Elephas maximus indicus: one gene and its partner. The protein of the gene in region 2 purifies or fractionates together with the protein of the main gene of each other region. This does not show direct contact. Links are inferred from orthologs where the notes say so. Each region holds a gene or a part of one and is shown on either strand. Other genes may lie near its edges.

Region 1 (15,381 bases), on a different chromosome or scaffold from region 2:
GCCTTGAAAGTCGTCTGCAGGCGCCGCGAGCGGAACCACTGCTGGGGGCGGGGGAAGATAATAGGAGCTCTCTGCGGCTGGGCGGGCCCCGAGCGCTCGGGCCTCGGCGGGGGTCTCAAGCCCAGGTTCCTCTTCTGAGGCACGGAACCCGGCCAGACCCAGGGCGGGGTGCACGGTCCGGTAGGATACGAGTGACGGAGGCAGGGCCGGGCTCCTTCCCCGGGGGCTGTTGCCACACTTCCTGCCGCCACGCTCTTTCCCCAGCCTGTTTCTAAGGAAGGGAGTGGGGTTGGGCGACCGCGCCCCGGCCATCGGGCTGGGTCCAGGCTCCGAAGTTGACACGGTGTAGGGCAAGCCCAGGGTCAATGGGGGAGGCCATGGAGCTGGGGACAGAGTATTCGGGCGCCGATGGGTCACTACGAATGGGGTTGCGCTAGTCATGGAAGATTCGGCACAGCCTAGTCCCCAGGATCCTGGGAGCCCCTTCCTCGCACATCTCAGCTGGGGACCCTCCTGCCATTGTCCTCTGATTTGAATATATGTTCCAACCCTTCTAACTCTCCATCATGGCTTCACAGATTACCCCGGTGACTCCCCAACCTAGTGCCCCTGACAGACATATTCCATTTTCTACTCCACGTATTTTCCCTGGCCAACTGTACCCGAGGACCCGCATCCCTTTATGCATATCTAAATTTCCCCATCTTCATTCCTCCCCCACTTAGGCAGGGCCCTCAGATTGTCCCATGGATGCCAGCATCCCTCCTCATTTCTGGTATAATGGGTCCTCCAGCTTCTCCTCTTGTATCCTTTTTAAGCGTTGCCTTTCTTCGTTTTTCTAAGTCCCTCCTGTGAAAAGTTCCGGAACCCCCACTCAATTCCTGTGCCAGGCGTTTCCCCACCCCTTCCCATTTACTCGCTTTAACCCTCTTCCCCTTGTTTTTTTGGGCTCCCAGGGTATTATCAGAGTCCCAACCCCTCTGGAATACTTCGGGTCCCTCAGGCCTTTCGCTTACACCCTGGGATACCCGCCCCCACTTCCTCTGTACCCTGTCCTCCTTTTTCTCAGGTGTACTCCAAGGGAGCCATTGCTCCTTCTCAGCCCCTCCCCCAGATGCCTCGTGTCCCCCAGCAGATCCTTCCTCGCGTACTCCGGGGTCCCCCAGCCCCTCCCCTGCAGCCGCGCCGAGCCACACGGCCCATGGCCGCTGTTTACAAGGACACGCGCTTCCTGACAGTGACGCGAGCCGCCTCCTCCCCTTCCCCACGCTCGAAGAGGGGGGCGCGGGGGCCGGGCTCGGGCGACCGCCAATCCGAGCGCACTTCCGCAGCTGACAGCTCATATAAAGACCAGCCTCTCTGCTCAGCGGCCGGGACCTTGAGCGCGGCCAGGCCACCTTCGGAATCTTCAGGGAACGGGGAGCGGGGGCAAGCGACACAGAGAAAGCGAGCGCACTAGAGAGGGCGAGGAGGACACGGGAAGCTGGGTAGAGCTTTCGCGCACAGCCGCCGGCTGGCCGCTCCCCGCCCGAACCAGTCGCCGGGAACGCGCGTTCCGACAATCAGTCCGGTCACCGCCGCGGACAGCGCACCGGTCGCTGCAGCGAGGCCCCGGGCGGCCCCGCAGGGACCACCCCCCCCGCCCCCAAGCCCGCCGGGCCGCCCGGATGTGCACTAAAATGGAACAACCTTTCTACCACGACGACTCATACGCAGCAGCGGGCTATGGCCGGGCCCCTGGCGGCCTCGCTCTACACGACTACAAACTCCTGAAACCCAGCCTGGCGCTCAACCTGGCCGACCCCTACCGAGGCCTTAAAGCGGCCGGGGCGCGGGGCCCCGGACCAGAGGGCAGCGGAGGCAGCAGCTACTTTTCCAGCCAGGGCTCGGACTCGGGCGCTTCGCTCAAGCTCGCCTCGTCGGAGCTAGAGCGCCTGATCGTCCCCAACAGCAACGGCGTGATCACGACGACGCCCACGCCACCGGGACAGTACTTTTACCCCCGCGGGGGTGGCAGCAGCGGAGGTGCAGGGGGTGCAGGGGGAGGTGTCACTGAGGAGCAGGAGGGCTTCGCCGACGGTTTTGTCAAAGCCCTGGACGACCTGCACAAGATGAACCACGTGACGCCCCCCAACGTGTCTCTGGGCGCCAGCGGAGGTCCCCCGGCCGGGCCCGGCGGCGTCTACGCGGGTCCGGAGCCGCCTCCGGTCTACACCAACCTCAGCAGCTTCTCCCCGGCGTCTGCACCCTCTGGCGGCGCCGGGGCCGCCGTCGGGACCGGGAGTTCGTATCCGACGGCCACCATCAGCTACCTCCCACACGCGCCGCCGTTTGCCGGCGGCCACCCTGCGCAGCTGGGCCTGGGCCGTGGCGCCTCCACCTTCAAGGAGGAACCACAGACAGTGCCGGAGGCGCGCAGCCGCGACGCCACGCCGCCGGTGTCCCCCATCAACATGGAAGACCAGGAGCGCATCAAAGTGGAGCGCAAGCGGCTGAGGAACCGTCTGGCGGCCACCAAGTGCCGGAAGCGGAAGCTGGAGCGCATCGCGCGCCTGGAGGACAAGGTGAAGACGCTCAAGGCCGAGAACGCGGGGCTGTCGAACACTGCCGGCCTCCTCCGGGAGCAGGTGGCCCAGCTCAAACAGAAGGTCATGACCCACGTCAGCAACGGCTGCCAGCTGCTGCTCGGGGTCAAAGGGCACGCCTTCTGAGCGCCTCCCCGCTATGTACGGACACCCCCTCCAGCCTGGACGGCTGGGCGCACGCCTCCCAGGGGGGGCGAGGAGGCAGGCGTGGACACCGGCCCCGGGGCCTAGGGGCGCCACAAACCACACTGGACTCTGGCCTGCTGGCTCTCGCCCAATCCTTCCACCTCGACGTTTACAAGCTGCCCCTTCCACGTTTTTGTATGTTTTTTTTTCTCTTCTAGAAACAGACTCAATTCATATTGAATATAATATATTTGTGTATTTAACAGGGAGGGGAGGAGGGGGCGATGGCGGCGGAGCTGGCCCCGCTGCCTGGTACTCAAGCCCGCGGGGACACTGGGGAGGGGACCTCGCCCCCTGCCCTCCCCCCTCTGCACTATACTGTGGAGTGGAAACACGCTTGGTTTATTTTAAGATGTGTTTGTGTGTGTGTGTGCGTTTATTGTTCTGACTTTTTATTGAATTTATTTAAGTAAAAAAAAAATAGTTCTTTATTAATTTCTGGAGTCTTTTTTTCTAAGCCGGGCGGGCGGAGGGAGGAGAGTACTGGGCGGCCCTCACCCCACCGCTGTTTGGGGCTCACTCCAGTGCCTGCATCCCCCTCTCCAGCCCTGTCCAGCCATCTTAATGTCCCAGCCTAGCGGTCCGGCCCTCATATCCTGAGCTTGGTGGTCCCCGGGGGTTGGAAGGTGCGGGACGCGGTCAGTGTCCCAAGGGCGCGACGCGAAGTGCGCAGACGCGGCCCGCCCAGCCCCGCGCGCCGGGGCTTTCCCCGCTGACGCAGCGGAAGCGCTGCCCATACATGGACCGATTCTGCCCAGTGACGCGCTGGCGGTCTCCGGGCAGATTCCGGGAATCCCCTCCCCCGCTCTGCCGGGCAGGGCCGCAGCGCCGGGAAGGGGGCCGGGATTTTCCCGGGCAGGCGTCTGCCCGGGCCCGGAAAGCCCCAGGCCTGGGTCCAGAGCGCCCGGGGTGGGCGGGCCGCGCTCCCGGGCCCCGGGAACCACCCGCAGACTCCCCCATTAGGCTGGCGCCGGAGCCTGGTCGCGTCCACGCCCCCTCAGTCTGACCTGACCCAGGCAGGGGATCGCTGTAGCCTCCGCGCCGTTGCCGCCGCTGTCCTCCACCCTGCCCCCGCCAGGAAGGGCGGTGCCCGCCTGACTGTTTCCCCTCCCGGGTGCCAGGCCGAGAGCGGGGTGACTGCCAGGACTGGTCCTGCCGGGGCAGCTGCTTGGGCCGCCGGGCATCGCCACCGCCCTCGCACGGGGCTCCCTCCCCCGCTACTGGAACGGGTGGGGGGCGGCTGCGGCAACAGATGGAAGCCTCCAGAGCAGCGAAGGAAAACAGAGAGAAACCAGGCCATAGGGGTGGGGTGCGTAGAACAGGCACTTCACTAACTCGTTTATAAAATACTGAGCAGAGTCTGGAGACGTAACCTGGACCACGGCAGACAGGCAATAAACAATCAAACATTCCGTGATGGTGGTAAGTGCTAGGAAGAACAAAAAACAGATCCAGGTCGTAGAGTGATGGAACCATAGAGGGTGTATTGAGAGGGTGGACCTTTAGCGAGGCAATTTTTCAGCAGATTTGAAGGAGGTGGCCTGGAGAAAATCCCGGGAAGAGTGAGTGTGCGAGGCAGGGGGAACAGCACTTTTGAAGTTCCTGTGGCCAGAATAAAATCAGCCTGTTAAGAAACAGCCAGAAACTCAAGGGTGGCAAGAATTGAGTGAGCCACAGGTGGGGTAGATGAGGGCAGGGAAGGCCAGTCAGGCCTCATAAGCCTTGGAGGGGAGCGTAGATTAAATTCCGAGGGAGATGAGTGACACTTGGAGGGGATTAGGCTGGGTAACAATGTCAATAATCTGTGGGTTAAATGTGTATATCAGCCTAGTTCTGTGGAAGGAAATTGGGGCTCAGAGTGGCAAAGTCACTTGTCTGATCCTACACAGCATCAGACTATGCAGCAGCGTGGTAACCATTGGGAACACTGCCTTGCTCCTAACACCTGCCCCTTGCCTAACGCTCACCCTTCCACCCTTCACCCTGTCACCCTTGCCAAGGATAGACAGGCAGCCCTTCCAGGCTGGAGTTGAACAGAGCCTGCAGCAGGGGCTGGGCATGTAGCTCAGGACTGGGTCCCAAAAGACTGGACTCGACTAGGCTCTGTCCTGCCAAAGGCAACCATCCTAGTAGCCATTCACTGGGCCTTAAGCAGGGACCCAGCCCTGGGCTTCACATTATCTCCTTTAAGCATAGTGATATGGCTTGATTGTCTTTACTTCCAGTCACCCAGGGAAGATCACAGCTATTAAAGGGCATTTGAACTCAGACTGGATGATAGCAAATTATGGGTTCTGCCTTGGAAGGCCAAGTTTCAAGATGTAGAACATCCTGAGACTGCTCCTTGCCAGGGGCAAACAGCATCTTCTCCTCCCCACCACTCCAGAACTGCCCTCAGACCGAGGAAAAGGAGGGAGAAGAGTTAGCAGTGACCATGAGGTAAGGTTGCCATCTTGTGGTAGAGATAAGTAACTTCAGGGTCAGTTTCCCAGGCCGGAGGCTGGAGAAAGCACATGGGAGTTGGGGGCACTGCCAGGACAGATGACACCGACACAGATTTGCACCTGTCCTAATAATTTATTGGTCTCCTTAGGTCTGTGCCCCGATGGGTGGGCTCTGGGGAGGGAGGGTCACCATCCATCAGCTTCCAGGTGGGGGCATGAGAGGGCCTTAGCCCCACCCTCCAGGATCCCAGATTGGGGAGTTTCAAGGGGACAGGTCTGGCCTTTCCTGGGTCAGCATGGGGCACCCATGCAGGGGAACAGGTGGGGAAAGAGGGCCCAAACTTATTCCCTGCCTGCTAGTCTAGTTGTGTTTAGAGAAGTATTCCTTGCTGTCATCCACGTTGGGCTTGATGGTGTCGCTGCCCGGCTTCCAGCCAGCGGGACATACTGTGGGAAGACACAGACATGTGTGAGCCCCAAGTTCAAGGCAGGGACAGTAGTAGGGGACTAACAGAGGCAAAACAAGAGCCTGAGTTGAAGAAGAAAAATCCTGGGCCTAGTGGTTCAGGTCCAGGAATACACATGTTGATAGAAGTCCTCCATTCAATCACCATTCTATCATCTGTGTTTACCCTCACAGGCCCAGCTGTAGTATTTTCTGGCTAATAATTTTCCTGTTTTTATCCTCATTTTCTTTTTAGGCCCTTCAACCCAGTCTCAGTCCCTCAGCCTAGCCTTGCTTGACTTTGAGTCTATGGCCAGACTATCCCTTCCACATGAGAAGGTTCTCTGATCCAGCTAACATTATTCAAACCTGACTCAGTATGCACCGCCTCAAATACTTTCTATGGCTTGTATTACCTCCCAGTTCTCCATCCTTGTATTCTATTGGGGTATCTCTCCCGCCACATGAGGCATTTCCTGAAGACAAGGCCCTGAGCTGAATCGCCTATGGGACCCTAACATTGCCCTGCTCAGGTGGAAGGGCTGACAGTAAATGTTTGCGTGAATGACAGAGGAGCTGTGTGTGAACTATTCACCTTCCCCATGCTCATCCGTGTACTGGAAGGCCTGGACCAGCCGCAGAGCCTCATCCACGGAGCGCCCCACAGGCAAGTCATTGACTGTGATCTGACGAAGGACACCCTTTCCATCAATGATGAAGAGACCTCTGAAGACATCAAGGCTCATGGTGAGGAGCTGGGAACTCCCAGGACCAGAACAGGGAGCACCCACCTCTTGCCAGACACAGGGTTGGGAGCAGAGAGGGCGTTGCCCAAGCATGGTCCCCTCACCCTGGGGATGAGGCTCCCTGAGCCTGACTGAGGGCTTCACTGTACCTGTAAGCGATGCCCTCATCTTCCTTCAGCACACCATAATCATGGGACAAACTTCTGTTCACGTCAGCCAGCAGGGGGATGTTCAGGGGGCCCAAGCCTCCCTCCTTCCGGGGAGTGTTGATCCTGGGGGTTGGGAAGACGGGACTGGCACCACAGGAGGCCCGGCACAGCGGGGTCCTCACCCTTTGGGCCCGGGTGAGATAAGTATGGGGGGGGCCCTGGAGGTGGGAGATAAGGGGCTTTAGAGCAGAGCCCTGGGAGACACACCCACCCCGCCCTGAAGTGTGTGCAGGGGCTGTTTCTGGTGCCTGGGAAGACTAAAGCCTACAGACTGGCACTCCAGTTCCAAAGGAGTGCCTTCACACATGCTACTGATTTCCAGCATAAGGGGGGGGAACATGTGCTAGAGTCCTGGTGCTCCTCTCTAGCCCTGTAACTTGGGGCCCAGCCCTTTACGCCCTTGAACTGGAGTTTCCACCTTCACAAAATGGGGCAGTACAGCCTCCCTCCCAAAAACTATGTGAGATAAAACGTCTGCGACTCTGGGCGACAAGCAACGAGTTTCCAAATGCTAATTACTGTCATCATCGTTAAGAACTGGGTGTCATTATTTCCATTATTTTCAGGATGGGGAAAGGGAGGCCCAGAAGTTGAGCAATGGTCATGCAGCCACACAGCTCAGACCCTAAGGTATGGGCCTAGCGGCATACTACCCTCCTCCTGTGCTCCCCTCATACCAAGCCAGGTGAGTGAACTGAGAGTCCACAGAGGCCCCCAGCACCTCGCAGCCCAGCTTGCGGAAGTCTTCAGCATGTTCGCTGAAAGCGATGATCTCGGTGGGACACACAAAGGTGAAGTCCAGCGGATAGAAAAAGAGCACCACGTATTTCCCTGGGTGGGTAGGGGTAAACGAGGAGTTAGGGCCCAGACCCCCTTATGCCTGGGCCAGTTCCCTGGGCCTCCTCTAGGCTGTCCTCACCTCTGTAGTCCGAAAGCTTCACCTCCTTGAAGGCTCCATCCACCACTGCAGTGGCCTGGAAGTCAGGGGCGGGCTTTCCGATGTGCGCGTTGCCGGAGGCCATGACTGAAAGCTGAGACCCCAGCCCGGTCAGCCCGCCCGGGAAGACCTTTTGTCTTCCCTTTCCAAGGTCATGCTGCGTGCGGGGGCCCCGTTAGAGCAGCACAGGCAGCAACACTGATCCCCGCCCTCCCTGGTACCAGGTCTACGCGATATTGAGGCTACTGGGAGCCGCCCACTGACCAGAGCACCAGCGGCCCGGCCGCTGCTGCCTGACCCCCCTTAGCTTGTTGGCGCAAGCCCCCAGTCCCAGTAGGAGACAACGAAGCCCCCGCGAGCAGGGGGGCGGGGAGCCCGGCGATCCGGCCTGTACTCCAAGGCTCCGGCCTCGGTTTCCCCCTCAAGGACAAAGGCGGCTACTGCGGCGGGAGGAAAACAAAGGCAGCCAGCGATAAGGTCCGGATAGGGCCGGAGCTGCTCGAAAGGGGCTTCCCCCAGCCGGGTGCACACCCGGTGTCTATACCTGCGTGGGCTAGGGCTGGACGCAAGGACAGCCAGACGGGCGGACTCTGGATCTCAGCGTCACGAGCACCAGGGGCTGCGGAGCCTTTTATGCGCGGCCCGAACCATGACGCGCAGGGCGTGGCGGGGGGGGGGCGTGGCAGACGAACGGAGCGGTCGGGTCCACTGAGTCGGGCAGAGAGGGGAGCGCAACCGGTCGGCTCCACGCACCGCGGGCGGCTGGGGAGACCTGCAGCCGCCGGCCGCGACCACCATGCAGGCCCGCGGGGTTAGTGAAGGAGCTGCGGGTCCACGTGAGGCTAGGCCCGGGAGCGCGCTGTGGGCGGTTGGAATCTCGCATGGCCCGGAGCCGGGCGGGGCTGCTTCTGCTGCCTCTGATACTCCCGCTCCTGGCGACGCCTGTCCAGGGGTCCTACGACTACCAGTACTTCGGCGATCAGGGCGAAGGCGACACTTGGGAGCAGCTGCGGCGGCTGCAGCAACCGAAAGGTAACCGCAGGTGGCAGGGGTGACGACCCCGAATGATGTTTCCATGACCCTACTTGGCCAGCCGGCTGCAAGGAGACCTCCTCCCACGAACTCTAGATTCCCGCCTTACTCCTCCCTGGCGGTCTCTCCTTGGGCTGATTACTTTTCTCTGAGACTCAATTTTCTCATCTATAAATTGGAAAAGAGGCTGACTTTAAGCAGCTCACAGCTGGAGAGGGGACGTGGGCAGGCAATAAGCACAGAAGCAGACATCCATAAACTCATGGGTAGGTGCTAGGAAGAGCAGAGATAGAGACAGGAGGGGGCGGGTAAGCTTGGAAAGTCACAGAAGGCCCTGCTAAAGAAGATATATAACCAGTGCAGCTGGACTGACAAACAAAAGCCAAAAATGCAAGGACTGGGTGGAAGGAGTGTGCCAGGAAAGGGGAACAGCATGTACAAAGGCCAAAAGACCTAATGGAGGAATGGAAAGAGGCCAGGGTGGTGGAGGCTTGGTGAGGAGAGAGTTGTAGAGGACGTGATCAGCGGGCCCTGGCCTTATGAGTGGTAGAATCAGGATAAGACCTGTCTCATACGGGCATAGGGAGGAACCAGCAGAAGAGCTTTCGTAAAGAACATCCACTAAGTGCTCCATAAGTGATAGCTGCTTTAAAAGTGATGATTAGAATTCTTTTTGTTCTGTGTGCTAACACAGTGCTAGGGGCTTTAAGTATCTTCATTATATCATTTAATTAGTCATTTAATTCACCACCTGACAGCTCTGCTGGTCTGGTGGCATGGTGCCCGCTGAACAGGCCAAGGCCACCTCCCTCAAGGCCGCAGTCAACTTCTGAAGACAAGCACCAAGCACCAAGCACCAAGGGTGGTGTACCATACTCCCAGCTGGGCGGGTTGGCGCAGGTGGGAAGTGTCAGTTTGCATCCCGCTGGGCCACTTGTCAGATGTGTGACCTCAGAAGGGTGGCTCGCTCTCTCTAGGTCTCAGTTTCTGCACCTGGCTCTGTAGCTAGAAGAGGGCATAGGGGGATTGTTCCCCTCTACCTGGGTCTTCATCTCAGCCCTCCACCCCCAGACGTGGAGGACTCGATCCTGAGCCCGTGGGGAAATTGGCGCTGCCTCTGCGACCTGGGGAAGGAGGAGCGCAGCCGCGAGGTGCAGGGTACGGCACCGGCCCCTGTGTTCATGGATCGTGAGAACCTGGTGCAGATGCGGCCCTGCCGGCAAGGAGATTGTCCATCCTGCAAGCTGATCCAGTGCAACTGGAGGCCCTGAGCCCGCGTGAGAGACTGGCGCAGAGGGGGCGGGGCCTAGGGGGCTGTCAAGTTCAGGGACGTGAGTTGCAGGAGTGGGGCTCGCAGAGTGGAAGGACTGCGTGGGGTGGGAACCCAAAGCCAACGAGATTGGCCCTGGTAGGGAACCAGGAGCCACAGGCAGAAGGGGACAGGAATGGGGACGACGCAGAGGGGTGAACCGGGACCTTGAGTAAGGGACGTTAGCCTGGTGAAAGGCCTTGACGCACAGACCGAGAACGATAGCCCGGCTGAAACCTGGGGATAGAGGGAGAGAAGCGGTAAGGATCGCAGACAGGACTGAGAGAAGTGAGCTTCGCTGAGACTGGGGGACTGAGGAAGAACAGTGGGGGGTGGGGGTGGGGGAAGGGGAGGGCATGAACCTTGAATTGGGGGAATGAGCCTGTATAATGAGTGGAAGCCCTGAGCCCGAGATTGTAAACCTTTTGGGCTCTGGGATTCTAATTCGAGGGACGGGGAGGCTCAGCCCGAGTGAGACAGGGTGGGAGGCAGGGACCCTGTGGGGGGCAAGGATCCTGATTCCAAAAAAGTGACTGAGACAGGGAGGGTGGGGACCCCAAGTATAACGGCCTGAGCTCACGTAAGAGCGGGGGTACCTAGTTCAGGGAGCTTAGGCTGTGTAGGTGGCAGGGATTTCGAATATAAGGGCCTGAATCCAAGTGGGGGACGGAGCCCCAGTGATGCTGAGGCCCGTGTTTGGGGAGCGTAGTTATATTTGACCTTTGGAATCGACTCGACGGCACTAGGTTAGACCCCTACAGGGCTGGGTCCTCCATGCCCTGCCTCAGTTTCTCCCTTTATTTCCCTTTCCTTCCACCAGCTCCTATGGGCGGGGGTCCGGAGCCGGCAGAACGCAGGTTGGATAGGGGCCCAGTCTACCCCGTTCTTCACCAGAAGCTCTTCGCTATCGATCTTGAGAACTACAATTTCCAGGAAGCTGAGCGGCAGCGGCGTCCGCGTCGGCTGCGCGAACGTCAGCGGCGTCGGGCGTGTGTCCTGTGCGCCGATTGGTCCCGAGTGAGCGCCGCTGCTGAGCCCGCGCAAGACGCGCGCCGAGGCCTGCGCTTGCAGCCGGCGGTTCTGCGGCTGGCACTGGCGGCAGAAGCGGCGGCATGGATCTCAGCGACCTGGAGAGAAACAATACGGGCCGCTGTCGCCTGAGTTCACCTGTGCCCGCGGTGTGCCGCAAGGAGCCTTGCGTCCTGGGCGTGGATGAGGCGGGCCGGGGCCCTGTGCTGGGTGCGCCACAAGGGCCAGGGGCGGGGGAGGGGCGTGAGAATGATGATGGCCATGGCATTGTGCCAGTGGACGAAAAAAGCGGTGGTGATAGAACAGGAATGGGGGTTTTCACGATACTCGCTGCTTGGATTCGGGAGCCACCCCCACTTCCAGAAACCTGACACCTCTCCTCCCCAGGCCCCATGGTCTACGCCATCTGTTATTGCCCCTTGTCCCGCCTGGCAGATCTGGAGGCCCTGAAAGTGGCAGGTGAGCCCGGGGTGTCGAGGGAGTACGTCTTGAGAGGTGGTTCCAGGGTATATGCAGGGCAAGTGAGAGCTGGAGGAGGGCAGGAAGTGAGAGAACCAGAAACCTTCTCTCCCAATCCTCCCAGACTCGAAGACCCTGTCGGAGAGCGAGCGGGACCGGCTCTTTGCGAAAATGAAGGAGGACAGGGACTTTGTGGGCTGGGCGCTGGACGTGCTGTCTCCAAACCTCATCTCCACCAGCATGCTTGGGCGGTGAGGGGTCTCCCCACCCCCAGAGTGGTCGGGATGGAGGTGCAGCCAGCTCTCTGGGGGAGGTAGAGAGCATGGGGAGGTTTGGCTCTGTGGCTGCAAGGGGTTCACTAGGCTCTGCTCTTAAACCTCAGGGTCAAATACAATCTGAACTCCCTGTCCCATGATACGGCCGCTGGGCTGGTGCAGTATGCCTTGGACCGGGGTGTGAAAGTCACCCAGGTGAGCCTAAGTATTTTGGTACCTGGGTTGCCCCCATTTGATCACCTCTAGATAAAATAGGGGTGAAAAAGTACAGTGGGCAGGTTCAGCATCAGAAGCATGGCAAGTGCCTCAGCAGTGTTGCTTCCTGCTGTTGACTTTCTACCCCTGTTTCTGCCTGAAATCCATGTCCCACCAAGGACCAGCGTGGTTCTCTCAGTCTCCCCTCCCCCAATCTAATCAGTCTTCCTAAAGACTTAGTGTCCAGAACAAATCCCACATCTGTCCACCTGCCCACAGCCTCCATCCTGGCCCAGGACACCCCCACCTGGACTCCTGCCCCAGGCTCCTCCCTGGTTTCCCCGCCTCCACTCCTGTTCCCTCTTCTGTCTGACATTTAATTTACTAATTACAAGATTTAAATCAGGAAAGTTCAGAGTTGAGTAAGGAAGAGGTTAAATTACTACAGAGAAGCATGAATCAACATTACATTGAGTGTACGGAGGCAAAGAACAGACTGTTTTGAGACAACGACAAGGGGGAATACTTGAGTTGGGGAAGGTAACAGGGGAAACCTCCCTGAGGAGGTAGCTGAGGCCCATCCCCAGCAGGAGGAGCTGGCAAGGCAGCCCTGGAGCAGACAGACGTAGGCCCTGCTCTCGGCTTCAAGGCCTAGTGAGAGGAGATGGACGATCAGCTGGTAAACTAAAGAATAAAGGTAACCTTTGAGAATGGTGACTGCCCTGAAGACATCACTTGTCCCTGTTACCTTCATGATCTTATTTCTCAGCATTCTATTCCAGCCTTGTGGCTCCCTACTGTTCTCCAGCATATTTGATGTGGTCCCACCTCATGGCCTTTGCACTGGCAGTTCCCTCTGCCTAAGCACTCTTTCCCAGATCTCCACATGGTTTATTCACTCACCTTCAGATCTTTCTTGAAATGTCATTACCTTAGAGAGTGCTTCCTTGAACCTCCGTTACCGCCATTTAAAATTATAACCCCTTCCAACTCTCCCCTAGGATTTATTATTTATCTTGTTTCTTGTTTGTGGCCCTCAGGGTGTCTGCTTCACAAGGAAGGGATTTTTATTTCCATGTCCCTGGCATCTAGAATAGCAACTGGCACACAATACGTGTTCTGGGAGGTGACCTTTGATCCAAGACCCCTGATATGAATTGATAAGAAAGATCCAGGCTGGGGATAAGCTGGAAGAAGAGTATTCTGGGCAGCAGGAACAGAAATGCAAAGGCTGTGAGGCTGGATAATTTGCACAGCTGTTTTTTGGGGTGTTGACCGAATACGTGTCTGTTGCTGTGATAGGTATTTGTGGACACTGTGGGGCTACCAGAGAAGTACCAGGAGCGGCTACAGCAGCGCTTTCCTGGAATTGAGGTGACAGTCAAGGCCAAGGCAGATGCCTTGTACCCCGTGGTCAGTGCTGCCAGCATCTGCGCCAAGGTCAGCCCCCATTGGGCTTGGGCCAGCTTCCAGCACCCCAGTGGGCAGGGGGTAGGCGCTGGTTGTTGCAGGGGAGGGAGATTCCAAGTGCCCATCTTGCCCACAGGTGGCCCGAGACCAGGCAGTGAGGAGCTGGCAGTTCGTGGAGAAACTGCAGGACGTGGATGCTGATTATGGTTCGGGCTACCCCAATGGTAAGCAGACAGTGGTGCAGCCTGCCTCTGGAGTTGCCTCAGGGTAGCACCAGCAATACTAATGCCAAGTTGGCCAGGGCTGAGCATGCTTCTGAGGTTTTCTAAACTGTTCTGGTAATCCTATTCTACAGCAGAAGGGGCTGAGGCCCAGAGAGGGGTGCCACTTGCCCACACCCACACAACCAGTGTGCAGCAGAGCTGGCCCTCCTCCCACTTTGCTGTTCTTTGGAGCCCCAGTGAAGGGCTGAGACCCAAAGTGGGCACCTCTTCACCCATTAAGGGGAAGGGACGCAGGCTGTTGTTAAACAGCTGTTGTTTGAATGCCAGCTCCACCATTTTCTTCCAACTCTGAGGCTCCGTCTCCTCATCCATAAGTGAGAGTGATCATGCCTCCCCTCGCCACACATAAGGGGAGATAAGAAGTGGCTGGGTTCAAGGAATCTTCCCATCCTTCTCTGAGGCCCAGAGAAGGGCTGGCAGTGGGGTGGGGCAGCACAGCCAGTTTGTGATTGGAACTCGGGTGAGAGGCCAAAGTGAGGAAATCAGGTCCCTGCCAAAGATAGTTTGGGCATCCATTCTGCACTTTTGAGCACCTGGTAACATACCATGCAAGGCCAAGCCCTGGGGGTAGAGCAGTGAGCAAGACAAACAAGGACCTCCCTACCTCTCCTGAGCTCATCATTACTTGCACAGCTAGATCAACAAATGTTAATTCCTTTTGTCCTTGGGGGGGTCAGGGAGATCTCTCAGCAGCAGTCTCCCTAAACTGCAACTTGAGCAACTCTTGGTCAGGCAAGTGAAGGGGGGTGGCCTGTGCAAAGGCAGAAAGATGTGCAGTGGAAGGTGACTCAGGTGTGCAAAAGGAGGCCTAAGATGAGGTGGCAGAGCCTCAGATGCCAGGCTGAGGAGCTTGGATATTATGGTGCAGCTCAGGGGCCATTGCCCACCACATACCCCAGATCCCAAGACAAAAGCGTGGTTGAAGAAGCATGTGGAGCCCATCTTCGGCTTCCCCCAGTTTGTCCGGTTCAGTTGGCGCACAGCCCAGAGCATCCTGGAGGAGGAGGCGGAAGGTGTTACATGGTGAGTGCCCCGGTGGTGCTGTAGGAGTGGAGGGAGGAGCGGGCTCAGCCCTGACTGGAGGGCTGGCATCCCCTGGAAAGGGTCAGTATTGTCCCCTCTCTCCCACAGGGAGGACTCCTTGGCAGAGGATCAGGAGGGACTCAGGAGGATCACGTCCTACTTCCTCAGTGAAGGCCCCCGTCCCCGCCTCCCCCACCGATACTTCCAGGAGCGTGGCCTGGAGTCAGCCACCACCCTCTAAAAGCCAGGCAGTCCCCCCTTTATCTGCCGCTTCTCTCCCCAGCTGGTGATTAAAACAGTTAACGAAAGCCAAGAGTAGGCTTGTACTTTGAGGTAGAGGCAGGGTGGTGGGCGTGTTCTGTGGCTGGACCTAGCTACTGCCTTTGGGAAGCTAAATGGGGTAGACATTGGGTGACTGATTTTATTTTACTTTTAAAATACTGCGACGTATTTATATGATTCAAAATTAGAAAGGAGCACATTGAGAAGCTGCACAGCCAACCTGCCCCCAGCTCACTGTGGGCTCGCAGGTGCCCGTGGGTCCTGCAGAGACAGTGGGGCATGATACAAACACATACAGGTGCACTCTCTTCCTGAAAAAAAAAAATTTTTTTTTACGCAAATGGAAGCAAACTATACCCTGAATTGTGCACATTACTCTTTTCTCCAAATATGACTTGCCAATAATTTCAAATGGTTGTCCAGAGACCTTCCTCATCCCTTTACACCACAGAGTCCTCTTAGAAATGCAAAGTCCTGGGCGCCACGCTAAACCTGCCAGAAGTCTATTTCCAGGGTCTTATTTAAAATGAG
Region 2 (16,242 bases):
CTGTGCTCCACAGTGTTTTGTTTTTTTTTTTTTAATAATTTTTATTGAGCTTTAAGTGAACGTTTACAAATCAAGTCAGTCTGTCACATATAAGCTTATATACACCTTACTCCGTACTCCCACTTACTCTCCCACTAATGAGTCAGCCCTTCCAGTCTCTCCTTTCTTGACAATTTTGCCAGTTTCTAACCCTCTCTACCCTCCCATCCCCCCTCCAGACAGGAGATGCCAACACAGTCTCAAGTGTCCAGCTGATATAATTAGCTCACTCTTCATCAGCATCTCTCTCCTACCCACTGTCCAGTCCCTTCCATGTCTGATGAGTTGTCTTCGAGGATGGTTCCTGTCCTGGGCCAACAGAAGGTTTGGGGACCATGACCGCCGGGATTCCCCTAGTCTCAGTCAGACCATTAAGTCTGGTCTTTTTATGAGAATTTGGGGTCTGCATCCCACTGTTCTCCTGCTCCCTCAGGGGTTCTCTGTTGTGCTCCCTGTCAGGGCAGTCATCGACTGGGGCCGGGCACCATCTAGTTCTTCTGGTCTCAGGATGATGATGTAAGTCTCTGGTTCCTGTGGCCTCCACAGTGTTTTTGATGGGTGATTTTTTGCTAGTTCTTTCTTCTGAGGCACCTCTGGTTGGACTTAATCTGCAACATTTCAGTTAGCAGCTAGGGTGTTAAACATTTTTACCACCCAGGGAGCCCAATTCAAAAAAAGGACCAGGAATGAAGGCTGGACTTTTATTTCCTCCTTCCTGTTGGCTGGACTATGGATTTGACGGTTGGAAGGCTGGAATTCAAGTGGCCATAATGAATCTTGAGATTGAAGCCACATGTAAAAATGGCAGAGCAACAAGACGGAAGGAGCCTGGGTCCACGATGATTATGGAGCTGCCATACTAGTCCTAGATTGTCAACATTCAACTGCATATCCATGAGTTAAGCATTGTCAACATTCAACTGCATATCCATGAGTTAAGCTTCTGTCTTAAATCACTGATATTTAGGTTTTTTGTCGCTCCCAAGCAAATCTAGGTATAAGTCAAACTGACTGTGGTCAAGTTTATGTTTAAACAATGGGGTCAATATCCAGAAAGCTGGAGAAAAAGTAGCTTCTCATTCCGCCTTCCCTCCCTTCTTTCACTTCTTCACTCTTTCCCAAAATAGGTGTTGATTGTTTCCCGTGTTGCCCACCTGAGCAGGGCACCTTACCTGTGTTAAGTAAAAAAGCATACTTCCTAGCTCAAGAAGGGAGAGTTGATACAAATATAAATAGCACAGCAGACCGATGTACATGTTTATTGACACCAAGAATCTATGCATCCACACAGATGTTACCTAAACTTCTTCAGATGTTACACAAACACACACACACACATACATCCTCTTTATCTCTGCTGTCACTATTTGGTGCCCATGTAGCCAAACCCCACCCAGGACCAGCAGAATGTGGTCCCTTGGGACCAGCAGGCTCCAGTGCTCCTGATCACGGGGTCAGCGTGGCTGAGGTCCAAGTCTGCTCTAGGCCAGGAATGCTGGGACCTCTCCAAGCTCTCTTTCTCTCTGAAGCTCAGGTTTGACTCTCTGGGGCTTGAGGAAGATCCCCCTGGAAAGGTCTGGCTGCTTCTTAACCTCTGAGGCTTCGGGGGCTGAAGGAGGTATGGAGAATCCCAGGGGCCTGTAGACAATAGGTAATAGGCAGTGTCATTATCTCCATTATACGGATGAGGATAATGAGGCCCTTGACAGGTGTAAGCCACAGGATTCACTAACGACAGGGCTGGGACCCAACTCCCAGTTCCTCCCTTCCTGGCATACAGGCTGCATGGTGAAGAGTGAAGATTCTCTTTATTTCTTTTCTAATAACCACTTATCGAGCACTTACTCCAGACTAGGCACTGTGCCAAATGCTTTACATAACTTGTTTCACGTGTTCCCCATAACCATCCTATGAGGTGGGCTGTATTTTATACTCCCACTTTAGACATGAGAGTAGTAGGGGTAAGGAAAACTAAATAGCCTGTCCAAGATCACCAGTGTCTAAGACAAGTTGAGATCCACGCCTGGGTCTCTGACCCCGAAATCCATCCGAGAAACCCACCAGGCGGGGGAGGGGCACACTTGGAAATCTTGGAAGGGCTTCGGTGTTCCTTGAGGCCCTTAAAGAGCACGTTAGAGTCCATGTGTGCGTGTGTGTGCGCGTGCCTGCATATGCAGTTTCTAAGGCAAAGGTCATTCATTGTTCTCAGCAGCTCCGCAAGGGAACTCTTGACCCAGAAAAGGCCCAGAACCACTGATGCTGAGTAAAACCCTTGGCTTCTGGGTCAGAGATGCTGTGGCTTTTGGCAAGTCAGGCAGGGGACAGGAAGGCAAGAGTTATTTGGGGATAAGATGGGGGGATAGTTCAGGTTTTTTTTTTTTTTAATGTTTTACTGCTATATCTCTTGGTCCTTTGACCACTGACAGACCAGGAAAGCCATGCCCACTGCTCAGGGCCTCTGGTCCCAGCTGAAACCTGGCCTGTCTGCCCTGGAAACAGGGCTCTGCCAGACACTCTTGCTGTGCACCATTTGATCTCAGGCCCTCCAGCACCCAGAGCAACTCACAGGGCAGGCCCCGGGACCCTGCTCTCCCAGGACACCCAACCCCCACGAGCTGAGCCATGCGGTCAGCAGCCAAGGGCACCCAGGTCAACACCCCAGGGTCCACTGTAAAAATGGCGGTGCAGGGGCTTCTGACCTCTAACTTCACAAGGGGCAAGAATCAAGATCAACAGCCCAAGGCTAACTGCTATGAGGCAGAGGGCAGACATACCTCCTCTCCAACTTTTTTACCAATTTTGATACCAGCCGTCCCTCCCACGGCACTACTTCTCTGCTGGGTTTGATAATTCGTTGCAATGGCCACACAGAGCTCACAGACCATACTTAAAATTTATTAGGGAAGTAACAGGTTACAATTCAGGCTCAGGGATGACTCAGGATACAGTTCTTCAGCCAGGACAACTCCTCAGCTGTGCCCACAGGCAGGCCTCCTCCTGGCCCCTTGCCCTCTGTCCTGCTCCAGCAAGTGTTACAAAGCTCTTTAGCTCTAACAATAAGTGCCCGGGGCCACCCCACACCCCCAGTAAGCCTCAGCCCGAAGGCACTCAGCTTTCTCACTCTATGGGCCAGGAAGCCCACCACTCCATCTCCTGCAAGTCTCTTGGTTCTGCTGTTGCTGGTTCTCTGCCATGCTTGCTTCCACTTCTCACCGTCTCACGCCATCTCTGGCGTTACAGCTCTCCCTCTCTGCCTCCTGGGTCTAGGAGATTCTCAGTGCAGGGACCCCAGGTCCAAATGACCAGCTCCACTCTCATCTTTTCTTGCTGGTAGTGAGGTCCCCCATCCGCCTCTGGGATGGCTCATTTTAAGCCAAGCAGGATGGGAAAATTGACCATCCCTTTGTTAGTGTTCCATACACCTTATTTGCATGGTCCCACCCCAACAAGAGTGCCATGCACCTTATTTGCATTATTAGCAAGCTACCCAATCCCCTTGGTGAGCCAAAAGCACCTCATTTACATAATCCCACCATCTGGTGGGGCTATAAGACTATGGCAAGAAAAGCCATATAAAAGCAATCCATCGCATTGGACACCCCAACCCCTCTGGGCTGCGTTCTAAAGGGCTACCCAGCCCCTAGAAGCCCCCTTCCACCCCCATTCCCGGCCCAGATGTTCAACATGATGCTGAAGGGAACATTCCTCTCAGGTGCCTCAGTGGGCCTCGACCAACTCAGATAAAACCCCAGGAGTGGAGGAATGGGCAGCTGAGTGGCAGAGATGGGGGCTTCCTGTGATAGCAGGGCTGCAGAGAAGGGGTCGAGGATGCACAGCAAGGGACAGGCTTTCTGACCATACTTGACTGATACAGACGCTGCTGGTACTGACTCAGGAACTCCCTCCGCCTGGAGCTCTCAGAGGGGCTCAAGGCCAGAGAGCCTAACCCTACTGGCTGCTGTGGACCTTGGGGGAAATGCTACGCCTCAGTTTCCTCCTTTGCACCCGTGAGGGGGACAACCTCTGCCTTGGGGTTATTGAAAGGATTGAAAAATGGTGCCCAGGAATGAAAGGGTTTTTCCACCAAGCACACCAGCAAGGACCCAAGGTTTGGCAGGGGAGGAGAAGTGGGCAGGTTACACGAAGGCTTGGGAAGCTGGAGAGACGTCAGCCCTGCCCTGGCCCAGGACCCCTCAGGGACAGCAGCTATGGGAGAGACCAAAATCAAAAAACCAAACCTGTTGCCGAGTTGACTCCGCCTCATAGTGACCCTAGAGAACAAAGCAGAACTGCCCCATAGGATTTCCAAGAAGCAGCTGGTAGACTGAAACTGCCAACATTTTGGTTAGCTCCTGAGCACTTAACCACTGTGCAGCGGCAGAAAAAGGTAAGCAGGTGGGAAGTCTTGGGCAGGCTGAGTCCATCCTTTTCCTGGGTGCTTTTTCCATGAGGACATAATTCCAACCACCCAGGCCCCTGAGCCTCTACCTGGTGGCCCCGTGGACTCACCCTCGCTCCCCAAATCCAACAGGTCTCCAAGTCCTGGCTGCCATTTCTGGACATCACTTGTCTCACTGCCCCTTCCCACCCCATGGCTCCCCCTCACCTCCCAGCTGGTCCCGCTCCAATTCTACCTCACACAGTAGCCCAAGTATCAATCTGACCTGTCACTGCCCTGCTTAAAGCCCTTCAATGGCCCGAAGTGCCCACAGGATGAAAGGCAAGCCGCTTACCAGGCTCAAAGGGCCCCTGACCTCCCAGCATCTTTATTCCAGCTGCCCCGAAAGCTACAGTAGCCTGATTGTCCCACACCTCCATGCCTCTTTCTGCCTGTCCCCACTACCTCAGGGTCATTTCCTCAAGCAGCCTTTCCAGACCTTCTCGATCTGAGTGAGCCAGCTCTGGGGGCTGAGTCCCAGAGACCCCTGGGCAGGAAGCAGTCCACAGAACACACATGACATCACTGTTCAAATCCTGACTCCACCTGCTCGTGGCCGCAGAAGCCTGGCCTGTTTACTTAACCTTTCTGTACAACAGGGCGGGGACACATCACACCTCACAGGCTTGTTGTGAGGATTGAGTCGCTACACCTGAAGCTGAAGCGACTTGTTGTGAGGATTGAGTCGCTACACCTGAAGCTGAAGCGACTTGTTGTGAGGATTGAGTCGCTACACCTGAAGCTGAAGCGACTTGTTGTGAGGATTGAGTCGCTACACCTGAAGCTGAAGCGCTTAGCACCCTGCCTAGCAACAGTAAACATTCAGCAAGTGTGCACACCTGGCCAGGACCTGGTGGAGCATCACTGCCCGCTAAACGCACACAGCCTCCAAGGGCCAAGAGCCTGAGGCCCATGGGCAGGGCCTGCAGCCCCTCACAATACACCCACCACCTGCATCTTCTCTCTTCCACAGCTCAACTACACAGACTCCTCTCTCAGGAAACCCACCTGAACTCAACTGGCCCTGCCTCCACTGAAATCCTTTCTGCCACTGAGACGGTCCCCAGGTGGGCCCTAGAGCTGAGATTCTTGGCCCTGGGGTTTATGGGCCTCAGGGAGATCAGCCAGCACTTGAGATCACACAGGTCGTGGATATGCCGGGAGCTTGTGTTAGCCTCGGGGGCCCTCCCTGGCTTCCAAATAGATGTTTCATAACACCCCCTTCAAGAGGACATCCCTGACTACCCCTTATTTAAATCTAGGTTCCCTACGTTTAATCCCTCCCACCCCTGTCCACTCCCCTCACAGTTCTCAGCTCATTCTGACTATGTCATAAGGCCTGGTCCCCAGAGAAGCAGCAATTCAGAAACAAGGAGGCGAATGTGAACTACAAGTGTTTATTGCAGAAACATGGCCAAGGTTCCAACCGAGTGACCCTCCTGAGGGTGAGCTGGGCCTCCTGCTTAGGGCTGGGCAGGTAAGACGAGTAGAGGATAGAGAGAGTGCATCTGGGCCCGGGGCCTCAGAGCTGTGCGAGGATGTTGGGGGCCAGGCTGCAGGTGAGGCCTGTGCCATCTGGCTCCACATTCAGGGCCTTCACCACGCCGTCCTCTATTACCATGGAGAATCTGCCAGAAAGAGGGGCCAGGCTAGTCAGATCAGACTGGGCCTGGGGGCTGGGAATGGACAGAGGAGGGCTGGCAGGAGCCAGGGCCCCAGAGGACCCTCCCACTCTTACCTCTTGAGCCGATGATTCCCAAAGAGTGGCACTAAGGAATCATCTAATAATAGATCGGTCGCCTGGCAGGGGGGAGGCGGAGGCAGAGAAAAGGGTCAGGAACTCCCAGAATGGGCCCAGCATACCTCTAAGTCCCTGCTCCCAAGGCCTGGCACAGAAATCACCCCATAGGGTGAGAGGGGGTGCACACTCACCTTCCCAAAGGCCCCAGTGGGGTCAGCCAGGAGCCGAACCTGAGCAGAAAGAAAATAAAGGTCACCAGGAAAATCTCCTGCCTGACCCCTGACCCTGGCAGGACCTGCACCTCACCTTGCCTTCTGCGTGGTGGGTTTTCCCCCATTCACCAGTCACAAAGACATCATTGACACTGAGACATGCCACCACCTGGGCTCCCTTGGCCTCCAGAGCCCCAGCCTGCTCCACGAACCCTGGCAGGTGGGTCTAGGGAAGGAAAACAAGGAAGGGTCAACAAAGGGATGATTGCCCCTGCTCCTTGGCCCTCCCCTTCTCTCCCCTCCTCACTTCCCTGCTTCAATTCCTTTGATCAAAGAGAAGTATGCAAAACTGCCCTATTTCCTGTTTGCCTTGGCCATTTGGAAGCTCAGATTCAAACTTAACACTCTGTAGTCAAGACCATAAATGTCCCATGGGCAGGAGTGCCTTCCACAGTGCCTGCCATCCAGCAAGACCAACAAAAGGTGTTGAGTTTAACTGCAATAATCCTTTTTGCTACCTTCCTGGTACTGTTATCTTTTGACAGCCACTACTTACTTCCTGAATGCTAATATACTTAAACTGCTGCTAATACACTTTAAGCCGCCTCAGGGCTTTGGAAGGACACACTGACTTCTGAGCAATAAAAAACAGGCACAAAAGACCCAAATTCCTGATCCCCAGGAGGGCAGGGCCTCACCTTCGAACAGCCTGGAGTAAAGGCTCCAGGAACTCCAAACAGCACACCCTTCTTGCCCTTATACAGCTCTGCCAGGTTCACCTTGTTCCCAGGCTCCCCTTCAAACACCACCACTGACGGGAGGGCATCTCCCACCTAGAGGGAAGGGCTCCAGGGTTAGGAGTCAGGAGGCAAAGGCTAAGGGAGGGGCAGCAGAGCAAGGCCAGGAGGGAAGAGATTGCCTGGTGGCTGGGCCTGGTGGAGCCAGCTGGAAAGTCCAGTCCTGTCAGTTTTTAAATGTCCCCCCCCGCCACCCTCCCCCTCCTGATCCCACCCAGACTACCCCACATCCTCCTGGCCCACAGATGTCTGCTGTTTCTAAGGGTGTGTTGGTGACACCAGGGAAAGGGACAGAAAGCCTCCCCAGGTGTCGCAAGGGGTTGAGTAAACAAGCTGTCTGGGTTATGGGAAATGAGTAAGATAGATGGGCAAGGGGAGGAGGTGTGACGGGGGCCCTGACAATGGGGAAGGAAAGGATCATGGCCAGGCCGAAAGCGCCGCCACCCTGCAGCAGATGGGGGATGGACGGTCTGATGCAGAAATGTAGAATAAAAGCCTTGAAGGGCTGCATGGGGCTGGGGGAGGCAAAGACAAAAGGGAGTCTCTAAGGGGCCCAGAGTTTGGATGTGGGATGTAGAGGCAGAGCGGATCTCAGAGGGTGTGGGAGGGAAAGGGGGGAAGGGACTGTGGGTGGTTTCAGAGGACGAGAGGAGTAAAAGACTGAACAGAAAGATGAAAATTAACTCTGGGTAGAGGGAAAAATGTCGCGGAGGAGAACGGGCAAAAAAAAAAAAAAACAGGCTCTGAGGGTCAACAATTGTTTAAGCGGGGGTGGTGGGGGGGTGAAGAGCGATGCCTTGCAATGACAAAAGTGTGGGATAGGTTACGGTGGGGAACCTGCGGAGAGTGGGGAGGGAGCCCTGGGGCGAAGGAGATGGTCCCAGAAGATGGGGGAACGAGAAGGCCCTAGACTGTTCCCGGACAAAAAGGGCACGAAGCTCCAAATTGTGGCGAGAAAGGGGGTGGGAGCAGTCAGGGCGGTCTTGATGAAGGGTGAGGGGACCAGCGGCGGGAGGGCTCCGAAGGGCAAAACAGAGGGTGACACCCCCAGACGAGTGGGACGGGTGGCGGTTCTGGGAAGAGACGGGGTCGGGTCCGGCCAGGCAGGCGGTCACCTTGATCGGGGCCATGGCTGCGGCTGCTCTGTTGAAACTGCGAGTCCCGCCAAGCGTCCACTCTCCTCTTCCTCCCGGTCGCCGTCCTGCTCCCACCGCTGCCGCTGCTGCAGACTCAACGACGGCCGCCCCACTGAGCACCAAACCCGCTGGACCGCCCAGAACGCGCAACCCCGCCAGCCCCATGCCCAGCCCTGCGACAGCAACCGCCAGGTCTCTCGGGCCGACCCCCGCAGGAGGCGGGGCCCGAAGCGAGCGAACCCCAGAGCCTGTGAAAGGTGGGGCTTCTGCTCCGCGGGCCTCCAGCGACCGCCCACCGGCCAGTAGGCTGCAGCGCTGGGGACCAAGCTACCGCGACTCCGCTTATTTGCATACGGGGAGGGGCCACGCCGCAATTACAAACGGGGCGGAGCACTCGGCAGTCCCGCAGCTATTTGCATAAAAGGGGAGGTCCCGCTCTATTTGGATGGAGGGCGGTCAGGCGCCTGTGTGAGAGGCAAAACCACGTTTATTTGCATTCAACGCGGCCCCCTGCACCGCAATTGTTTCACAAGTGACTTACACTCCAGGAGCCGGGGGAGGCTGGGACCCGCCAAAACCAGTGGGCGTGCGCCGCAGGAGCGGACGCTTCCGGCGGCGGCGCGTGATCCGACGGTTTCTACGGCCCACAGCTCTGGCGAGAGGCAAGAGTACTTCCAGCAAGCTCGCCGCTTCCGGTCCTCCCGGCCGTCCAATGGGATAGAGTGGCGCAGCCCCGGATGTGACGCACGGGGTGCGGGCCTTTTTCCGGCTCCGGTCTATGCCCGAGCGCGTAGTGGCGACATGAAGCTGCTCACCCACAACTTGCTGAGCTCGCATGTGCGGGGGGTGGGGCCCCGCGGCTATCCCCTGCGGCTCCAGGTACCTGCCCGGGGTCCTCTTGCGCCTCGCCCAGGTGGGATGGGGAAGCAGGGGTCCCGTCCTGCCTAACTCACCGATCCGCCCTGCAGGCCACCGAGGTCCGCATCAACCCCGTGGAGTTCAACCCCGACTTCGTGGCGCGGATGATACCCAAGGTGGAGTGGGCGGCTCTTCTGGAGGCGGCAGATACCGTGAGAACCCGCCCGTGGACACCCCGGGGGTGGTCACCCCGCTCCCCCGGGACCTGGCTCTGGCCCGAGGGGGAAGGTCAGGGATGCCCAGACATGATTTAGGCCTCTTGCCCGCAGTTGCATCTGGTCGAGGTCCCCAAAGCGCCGACTGAGGGATACGAGCGCGATGAAAAATTTCTGAGGAAGATGCACCACGTGCTGCTGGAGGTGAGACTGGCGCACCACCTTCTCCCCCCGTTACCCCGCCCCAGGCCGCCAGTGTCAGCTGTCACCCCTCCCCGCAGGTGGACGTGTTGGAGGGCACCCTCCAATGCCCAGAGTCCGGACGTCTCTTCCCCATCAGCCGCGGGATCCCCAACATGCTGCTGAACGATGAGGAAACCGAGACTTAAATTTCCCAGACACCCCTTTTTCGTTCGGGAACCGTGTGTATCTTTGCTTTTTTGTATATTGTTTGCTGGCTTTGTCGTGTGCATCTTCAACCGTCCGCCCAGTGACACACCGAACAGAGTGTTCTTGAGCTCGATAGGATATATTTTTTTTTATCATTAAAGTTTCAAAACCAAAAGCGGTTTCTCTTTGCAGCAAATATACATTAAAATAGAGTCTCTGTACAGCCAAAGGCTCTGGGCCTTGGCTTGCCCCATGTCCCTGCGCCTCCCTGGCCAAACCAAAAAATAAATATAGTGTTATTGCTCTGCAGGGCATAGAGGCAGTGCTCTCCCTACCCCCTGAGGAGGCCGGGTAGGAGCTAATGGGGGCTCTGGCCACCCCAGGGGGTCCAGGGGTTGGAGCCTGCTTGGAGTTATTGCTTCAAGGGGCGGGGCAGTAATGCCCAATGCAAATGATGAGGAGAGGAGCGAAGGGGGCAAGGCCTTTGCTTTCCAAGTCCCCCTCTGCTCTGGAGGGGGGGGTCGGATTAAGCAGCAGCAAAAGCATCACCCACTGGGAGACTGTAGTCTCCACCCCCTTCCCTCCCTGAGATCAGGCTTCTGCCCCCCACACCACCCCTGGAGCCCCGTATGGCTTCCGCAAGGCCCCCTACACTCTGGGGGCACATTATGGCTTGCAAGGGGCAGCACTGCCCACAGGATGGGCACACACATTCCCAGCTTCTGACACCCCCCTGGGGAGGGGAGGATGTGGGGCCTGCTCCCAGGGGCTGATGGCATTGCCCTGGCCCTGCCAGCAGGCTATGGCACTGCCCAGGCCCCAGCTCTACCCCCTTGGGGCTGAACCCATGCTGGCAGGTCCTGCCAGCACCCCCGCCTGTGCCCACCCCCCGCCTCAGTCCATCATAGCCTCGAGCATCTCCAAGAACAGCTTGTGCATGGGCACCTTGCCCTCCAGCTTCACCCCATAGAAATGGGCCAGCACCTTGCCCGCTGTCTGGCGAAGGAGTGGTAGTGTGAGCAGCAGCCTGCCTGCCCGCCGCCGCTCGGCACCCCCTCCAGGGCCTGCCCGGCCAGCTTCATACTCCAGCAGGGCCTCGTGCAGGGCTTCTCGCAGCTGCTCCACAGCCTCAGCGTCCTCAATGTGCACAGAGTCTGCAGAGAGGGGGAGAACTTGTGACTTGGGCCATCTCCGGAAAGAGCAGAGCCCCCATCTGCTTGGGGTGGAGGCTCCTGCCAGGGGCCCGCCCTTTCCCACTCAACTATAGCTGCCTCTGGTCCTCCCTGCCTTCCCTTCCTCCCCTTCTTTCCCTGTGAACAGAGCCCTAGGGTTAAAAATCACGCGTACAATTCCTGGCCCTGCCCTTGGCTTGCTGTGTGACCTTCAGAAGTCAGGGTTCTTCCCTGAGTCCTGTTTTCCTTATCTGCCAAATGGGACCCTGTTGCCATCACAGCACTAAAAGCTGGAGGGCCCTGTGGAGAGACCCATCAGTGCCCACCCCAGACTCACCTGAGTTGGCAAGGGCTAGGGCCTTCAGCAGGACATACTCCTCGCGCTCGAGCCGTAGGGCCTGTAGTCGCCGCACCAGCTGCAGCAGGGCGGCCCCCAGCTCCCCTAGGCCGGCTGCCCGTGCCCCTTCTTCATCCAGGACCAGGTCCTCGGCAAAGGCCAGCTCATCCTGCAGTGGCAGCGAGCGCTGGGCCACACCCAGCACCAGCACCTCCATCCACACGCTCTGCAGCACTGACATCTGGTCAGACAGCGACAGCGACGAGAAGCCTGGAGGACAGGGGAGCAAGCTTCACTGAGCAAGTGTGCAGAGCCAGGCATGGTCTGGCTGACCCCAGGGTACCCCAGACCACTGGGCCCTTTACCTGGGATGCTTTTGGCCCAGCTGATGGTGACCACAATCTCTCGGTCAAAGAGGTCACAGAGGGTAGCCACCGCTGGGAGGTGTCCATCGGGGCCTGCTGGGTCGGGCATGGCATACAGCTTCTCAGGCTCGACCACCAACAAGTGAGACACCAATGCATTCACTGGGGCTGCAGGGACAATTGGGGACTACTCAGGGGCACTCAAATTCACCAGGCCCTTTAGGGTTAAGCATCTTCCCAGAGTTGGTCCCCCTGTGGCCTTCCTCAATGGCTGCTGACCAGCCAGGCACAGACACTGCCCTCCAGGGAAAGGCTCTAGCTACTTCCAGGGGAAAGCCAGGCTCTGAGTGTTAGGAAACCCTTCCTGTCCCCAGTTCTCCTATAACTGATACAGGAACAGCATTTTCATAAATATTTCTTAGAGAAATGAGTGCATGAATAGATGGGGGTGAATGATGCCACAGAGGCTTCTTGTGTCCCAGCCCCACCCCAGCCCTGCAGCTTCAGGTATCCACGTGCACTCACCTGATTTCCGGGGACCTCCAGCTACTGCCAGAGGGCCGGCAGGGAAAGGGCCTGGGAAAGGCAGCGGGTCCACTTCTGGCCGCCGCTTGTACTTTTGTCGTCCACCCCGAACACGGTCCAGACGCACCCCTGGAATTGTAGGATAGGACTGTGTCCGTGAGGTTGCCCTGTGGAGCCCTCCCCAACAGGCCTTGTCCATCTTGTGCGCCCAGCTCCCTCCAGCCTCCCCCAGGCCCCTGCCCAGCGCTCACCCTCCTTGAGCATGCCCACCCGCAGGCACTTGGTGAAGCGGCAGGCCTGGCAGGCCTTGCGTCTCCGCTTGGTGATCTCGCACTCGTTGGAGGCCGGACAGCTGTACTCGATGCTCCCTGCCAGGAAGAGGCAGGGCTCCAGTGGCCGCCACCCAGGGCCTGGAGGGGGCCCAGCCTACAGGAGAGCCCTGACTGGCCAGTCAAGCACAGGTCTGGGGGTGTGGGGAGGAAAGGGAGAGCAGGAGCTCCATGAGGGGCAGGAAGCCCACTGGGCTGGGGCCTCTGCGTGGGCAAGGGATGGCTGGGGCCCGGGGAGTCAGCCCGCACCTCTGCCCTCAGGCCATTCGGCCCTCATCTGCTATCAAGGTCCCAGTGACCTCCATGCTGCTAAATCCAGTGGTCACGTCTCAGTCCTCATCTTGGCCTAAAAGGCACATCTAATACCGTTGATCACTTCCAGCTCCTAGAAGCACTTTAACATGTTCCTTTGCTCCTAGAATACCACACTCTTCTGGTCTTCCTCCCACCTCACTGGCCACTTTGCGATCTCTGTGCATCTCTGACCTCCTTCCACCGGAAACCCCAGGGCTCTGCCCTTGGGCTTCTCCACTCACTCCCTTGATTGAAAGTCACGAGGGCTTTCAAATTTCTGTCTCTAGTCCAGACCTGCCCTCAACTCATCCAACTGCCTCAACATCATGTGTGTCTAGAAAGTATCTCAAACTTACACATCCAAAGTGGAACTCCTGATCTGTGCCCCAAAGCCCGCAACTCCATCTGTTCAGACGCTCAAGCCAGAAACCGAGGCGGCATCCTCCGTGCCTCTCACAGCCCACAGCCAAACTGCCCACAAGTCCTGGTGGGCCTCACCACCCTTATACCCAGGATCTGACCCCTCCTGCCTGTCCACTGCTTCCACCCTGTCCTGAAGCACTGTCCCCTTGCCATCTTGCAGGCTGTGCCTCCTTCGGCCTACTCTCAGCACAGCGGCCGGGGTAGGGGGGACCTACAACCCCAAGTCAGATCCTGTCTCTCATCTGCACTTTTCAACATCGTCCCTTCTTGGAGTAAAAGCCAAAGTGAACCCAATGGCCTGCAAGGCCTACCCCCCTCTCCCTGTCACCTTTCTGACCTCACCTCCCTGTCTGCACCCGTTCCGGATCAACCGGCTTCCTGGGTGCTCCTCACACAGGCCCTGCCTCAGGGCATCCTGTCACCTCTGACTGAGCGGCTCTTGATAGCCACACAGGCTCCTTGCGTCCTTCAGGTCTCTGCTCAGTTGTCCCCTCGGGAGGCCTTCCCTGGCCATCCTGCAATGGCAAACCCCCACTGCAGACACCTCTTGTCCTCTTTACCCACTGTTATAGTTTCTTTTCAGCTCATAGGACCAACCAATATGCTACATATTGTGCTTATTCATGTTCTTTATTATCTGTCTTCCCACTTTAGTGTCAGCTCCATGAGGGCCAAGATGGTCCCCAGTCCCCCGTGGTATGAACAGGGCCTGGCCCCACAGTTGTCATTGTTGTAAACTGCCATCGAGTTGGCCCCCTGACTCAGCAAACCCATGCTTAACAGAACCAAATGTTGCCCAGTTCTGTGCCATCCCTGTGATCGGTTGCAGACCAGGCCATTGAGATCCATAGGGTTTTCACTGGCTGATTTTTTGGAAGTAGATCACCAAACCTTTTTTCCTAGTCTTAGTCTGGAAGCACCGCTCAAACTTGTTCAACATCATAGCAACATGCAAACCTCCACTGACAGATGGGTGATGGCTGCATGTGAGGTTCACAGGCTGGGAATTGAATCCAGGTCTCCTGCATAGAAGGCGAGAATTCTACCACTGAACCACCAGTGTCCCCTGGCCCACTGTAGGCATTCACAATTACTGGTGGCCCTTGCAGCTATGATGGGCTATCACAGGGACCAAAACGATACAGCAGTCCACAGGTCGGTGGCACATTTCTCCCCACAGTGCATTTTCTCCTATACCCTATTAGGGCTTCCATGCTCTGATCAAGACACCTCCTCGAGGAAGCTCTCCAAGGCCCTGGACCCAGCCAGGTCCCTCCGTACACAACCTGTACGTCTTCCTCCAGCACTCGCCTCAGCTGTAATAGAGCAATCTGTACAGCCCATTGTTCCCTATCTCTCCTCTCTGCTAGACTATAAACTGCTCAAGAGCAGAGCCCGTCCGGCCTTGGTCCCAGCTCTGTCTCCATGCTGGGACAGTGGCCGGGGCAGCAAAGCACAGATTTGTGAAGGAGGGCTCTAGAGGCTGCTTGGGGCCCATTCTGATACTACCACTTACCACCTGTGTGACCTTGGGCAGGTTCCATCCCTAACCCACAATTTTCCCATCTTATTACAAAGCTGGGTTGTGAGAATTAAGGGGGATAATACAGGTAGAACGTGCACATGGGGCACTGCACCAAAGTGCTCAATAAATGGTAGCTACTATTTATAGCTGGGGTTCAGTAAGTATTTGTCAACTGAGTGAGCAAAGAGCAAAGAGTCCCAGGGTGGGTAGGAAACACCTAGACCTGGTCTGTTTGCTCCTTGGTATTCAGAGCCAGGAGGGAGCACAGAGGGTTTTAGACCAGTGGATCTGGGCCAGGTCAAAACTCGCTGGAATGTCACAATCAGTTGTGAGGCGTCTGTCCGAAGTTCAGTTATTAGTAATAAACAGGCAGGAGTCTGCTGAAGACCTCAGCTCTGGACCTAAATCAACCCAAGTTCAAATCCTGGTTCCACCATTCTCTACCTGTATGACTTGAACAAAGTCCCCTCCTCCCCCCACCAAAAAAAAAAAAAGAAACTTTCTGAGCCTCAGTTTCCCCATCCTGTAAAACACGATGACAATAGTGCTCACACCTTACGGGGTTCCTGTGGAGGCTGATCCTAAAAGTAAAAGGGCACCATGCCTGGCACAAGGTAAGCACTGGAGAAATGTTGAAAAAAATATATGTTCCAAAGTAACCAATGGTTTAAGTAAACACATAAATAACAGGCATATTCCCAGCCACAGTTACATCAGCATCTTGCCCACGCACTTGTATTTTGATATGTTTTCCCAAGCAGGAAAAATGCAGTGACTCTGAAGAACACGGATGCCTCATAATCTTTTTCAAGTTGGATATGGAAATACGCCGTAGCCCCCCTCAGTCACCCATAAAAGCCTGCCTTGTGTTGGTGCTGCTTTGGGGAAATCGAGAAAAAAGGGGGCATGTTCTATGCTACGAGAGGTTGGCAATGGCTAGAAGCAAGAACTGAGATGAGGAACAGGCAGGGCCTGCCTTGAAATTTTCAGAGCCACTGTGGACCCAGAGACCTGGCAGGCATCCTTGACTCCTGTCATACCCCCATCCATTCCATAAATCCTGGTGGGCTTTATTGAACTTTTCAGGGAATGGGTGTTCCTAGGAAGTGGAAGCGCCTGGGAACACTAGACTGACCATGGTAGCCTGGGGGCCGCTGCACCCAGCAGGGCACCCAGTGAGTGGCGTGAGGCCCAGTGGGTATAGGGCAGAGGGCACAGGGGTGGGGGGCTCACCCTGGATGGTCCTTTTGAAGAAGGCTTTGCAGGCCTCACAGGACGCCACGCCGTAGTGGTAGCCGGAGGCCACATCCCCACAGACCAGGCACAGGCGCTTGGGCAGGGAGCTGAGCACCAGCTTCCCACCGCCCTGCTCGCCAGGCCCAGCTCCCTCCCCATCCTCCTCCTCCTTGTGGCCTGGGAGGCATCGGGTGGGAGCTGGACCAGGGG

Evidence for each region.
Region 1: the proteins of PRDX5 (region 2) and PRDX2 fractionate together in Homo sapiens (co-fractionation; 3 studies listed by BioGRID). This does not show direct contact. The link is inferred for Elephas maximus indicus from reciprocal best matches to the Homo sapiens genes PRDX5 and PRDX2.

Annotation. Positions count from the first base shown.
Region 1 is NC_064821.1:31,494,292-31,509,672, forward strand, and holds PRDX2 (peroxiredoxin-2), read right to left. Parts: upstream 7,638-15,381; coding exon 7,535-7,637; intron 7,447-7,534; coding exon 7,293-7,446; intron 6,679-7,292; coding exon 6,556-6,678; intron 6,387-6,555; coding exon 6,256-6,386; intron 5,663-6,255; coding exon 5,577-5,662; downstream 1-5,576. Other genes in the region: transcription factor JunB, read left to right, coding at 1,668-2,711; THSD8 (thrombospondin type-1 domain-containing protein 8), read left to right, coding at 8,434-8,584, 9,656-9,855; RNASEH2A (ribonuclease H2 subunit A), read left to right, coding at 11,006-11,132, 11,310-11,381, 11,506-11,632, 11,764-11,851, 13,154-13,291, 13,398-13,485, 14,445-14,568, 14,677-14,809.
Region 2 is NC_064825.1:127,488,362-127,504,603, reverse strand, and holds PRDX5 (peroxiredoxin-5, mitochondrial), read right to left. Parts: upstream 8,686-16,242; 5' UTR 8,529-8,685; coding exon 8,343-8,528; intron 7,264-8,342; coding exon 7,129-7,263; intron 6,657-7,128; coding exon 6,525-6,656; intron 6,449-6,524; coding exon 6,410-6,448; intron 6,278-6,409; coding exon 6,216-6,277; intron 6,106-6,215; coding exon 6,000-6,105; 3' UTR 5,861-5,999; downstream 1-5,860. Other genes in the region: TRMT112 (multifunctional methyltransferase subunit TRM112-like protein), read left to right, coding at 9,165-9,242, 9,332-9,433, 9,536-9,640, 9,718-9,825; ESRRA (steroid hormone receptor ERR1), read right to left, coding at 10,721-10,980, 11,336-11,605, 11,701-11,868, 12,226-12,354, 12,477-12,593, 16,030-16,242. UniProt on the Homo sapiens protein: Thiol-specific peroxidase that catalyzes the reduction of hydrogen peroxide and organic hydroperoxides to water and alcohols, respectively.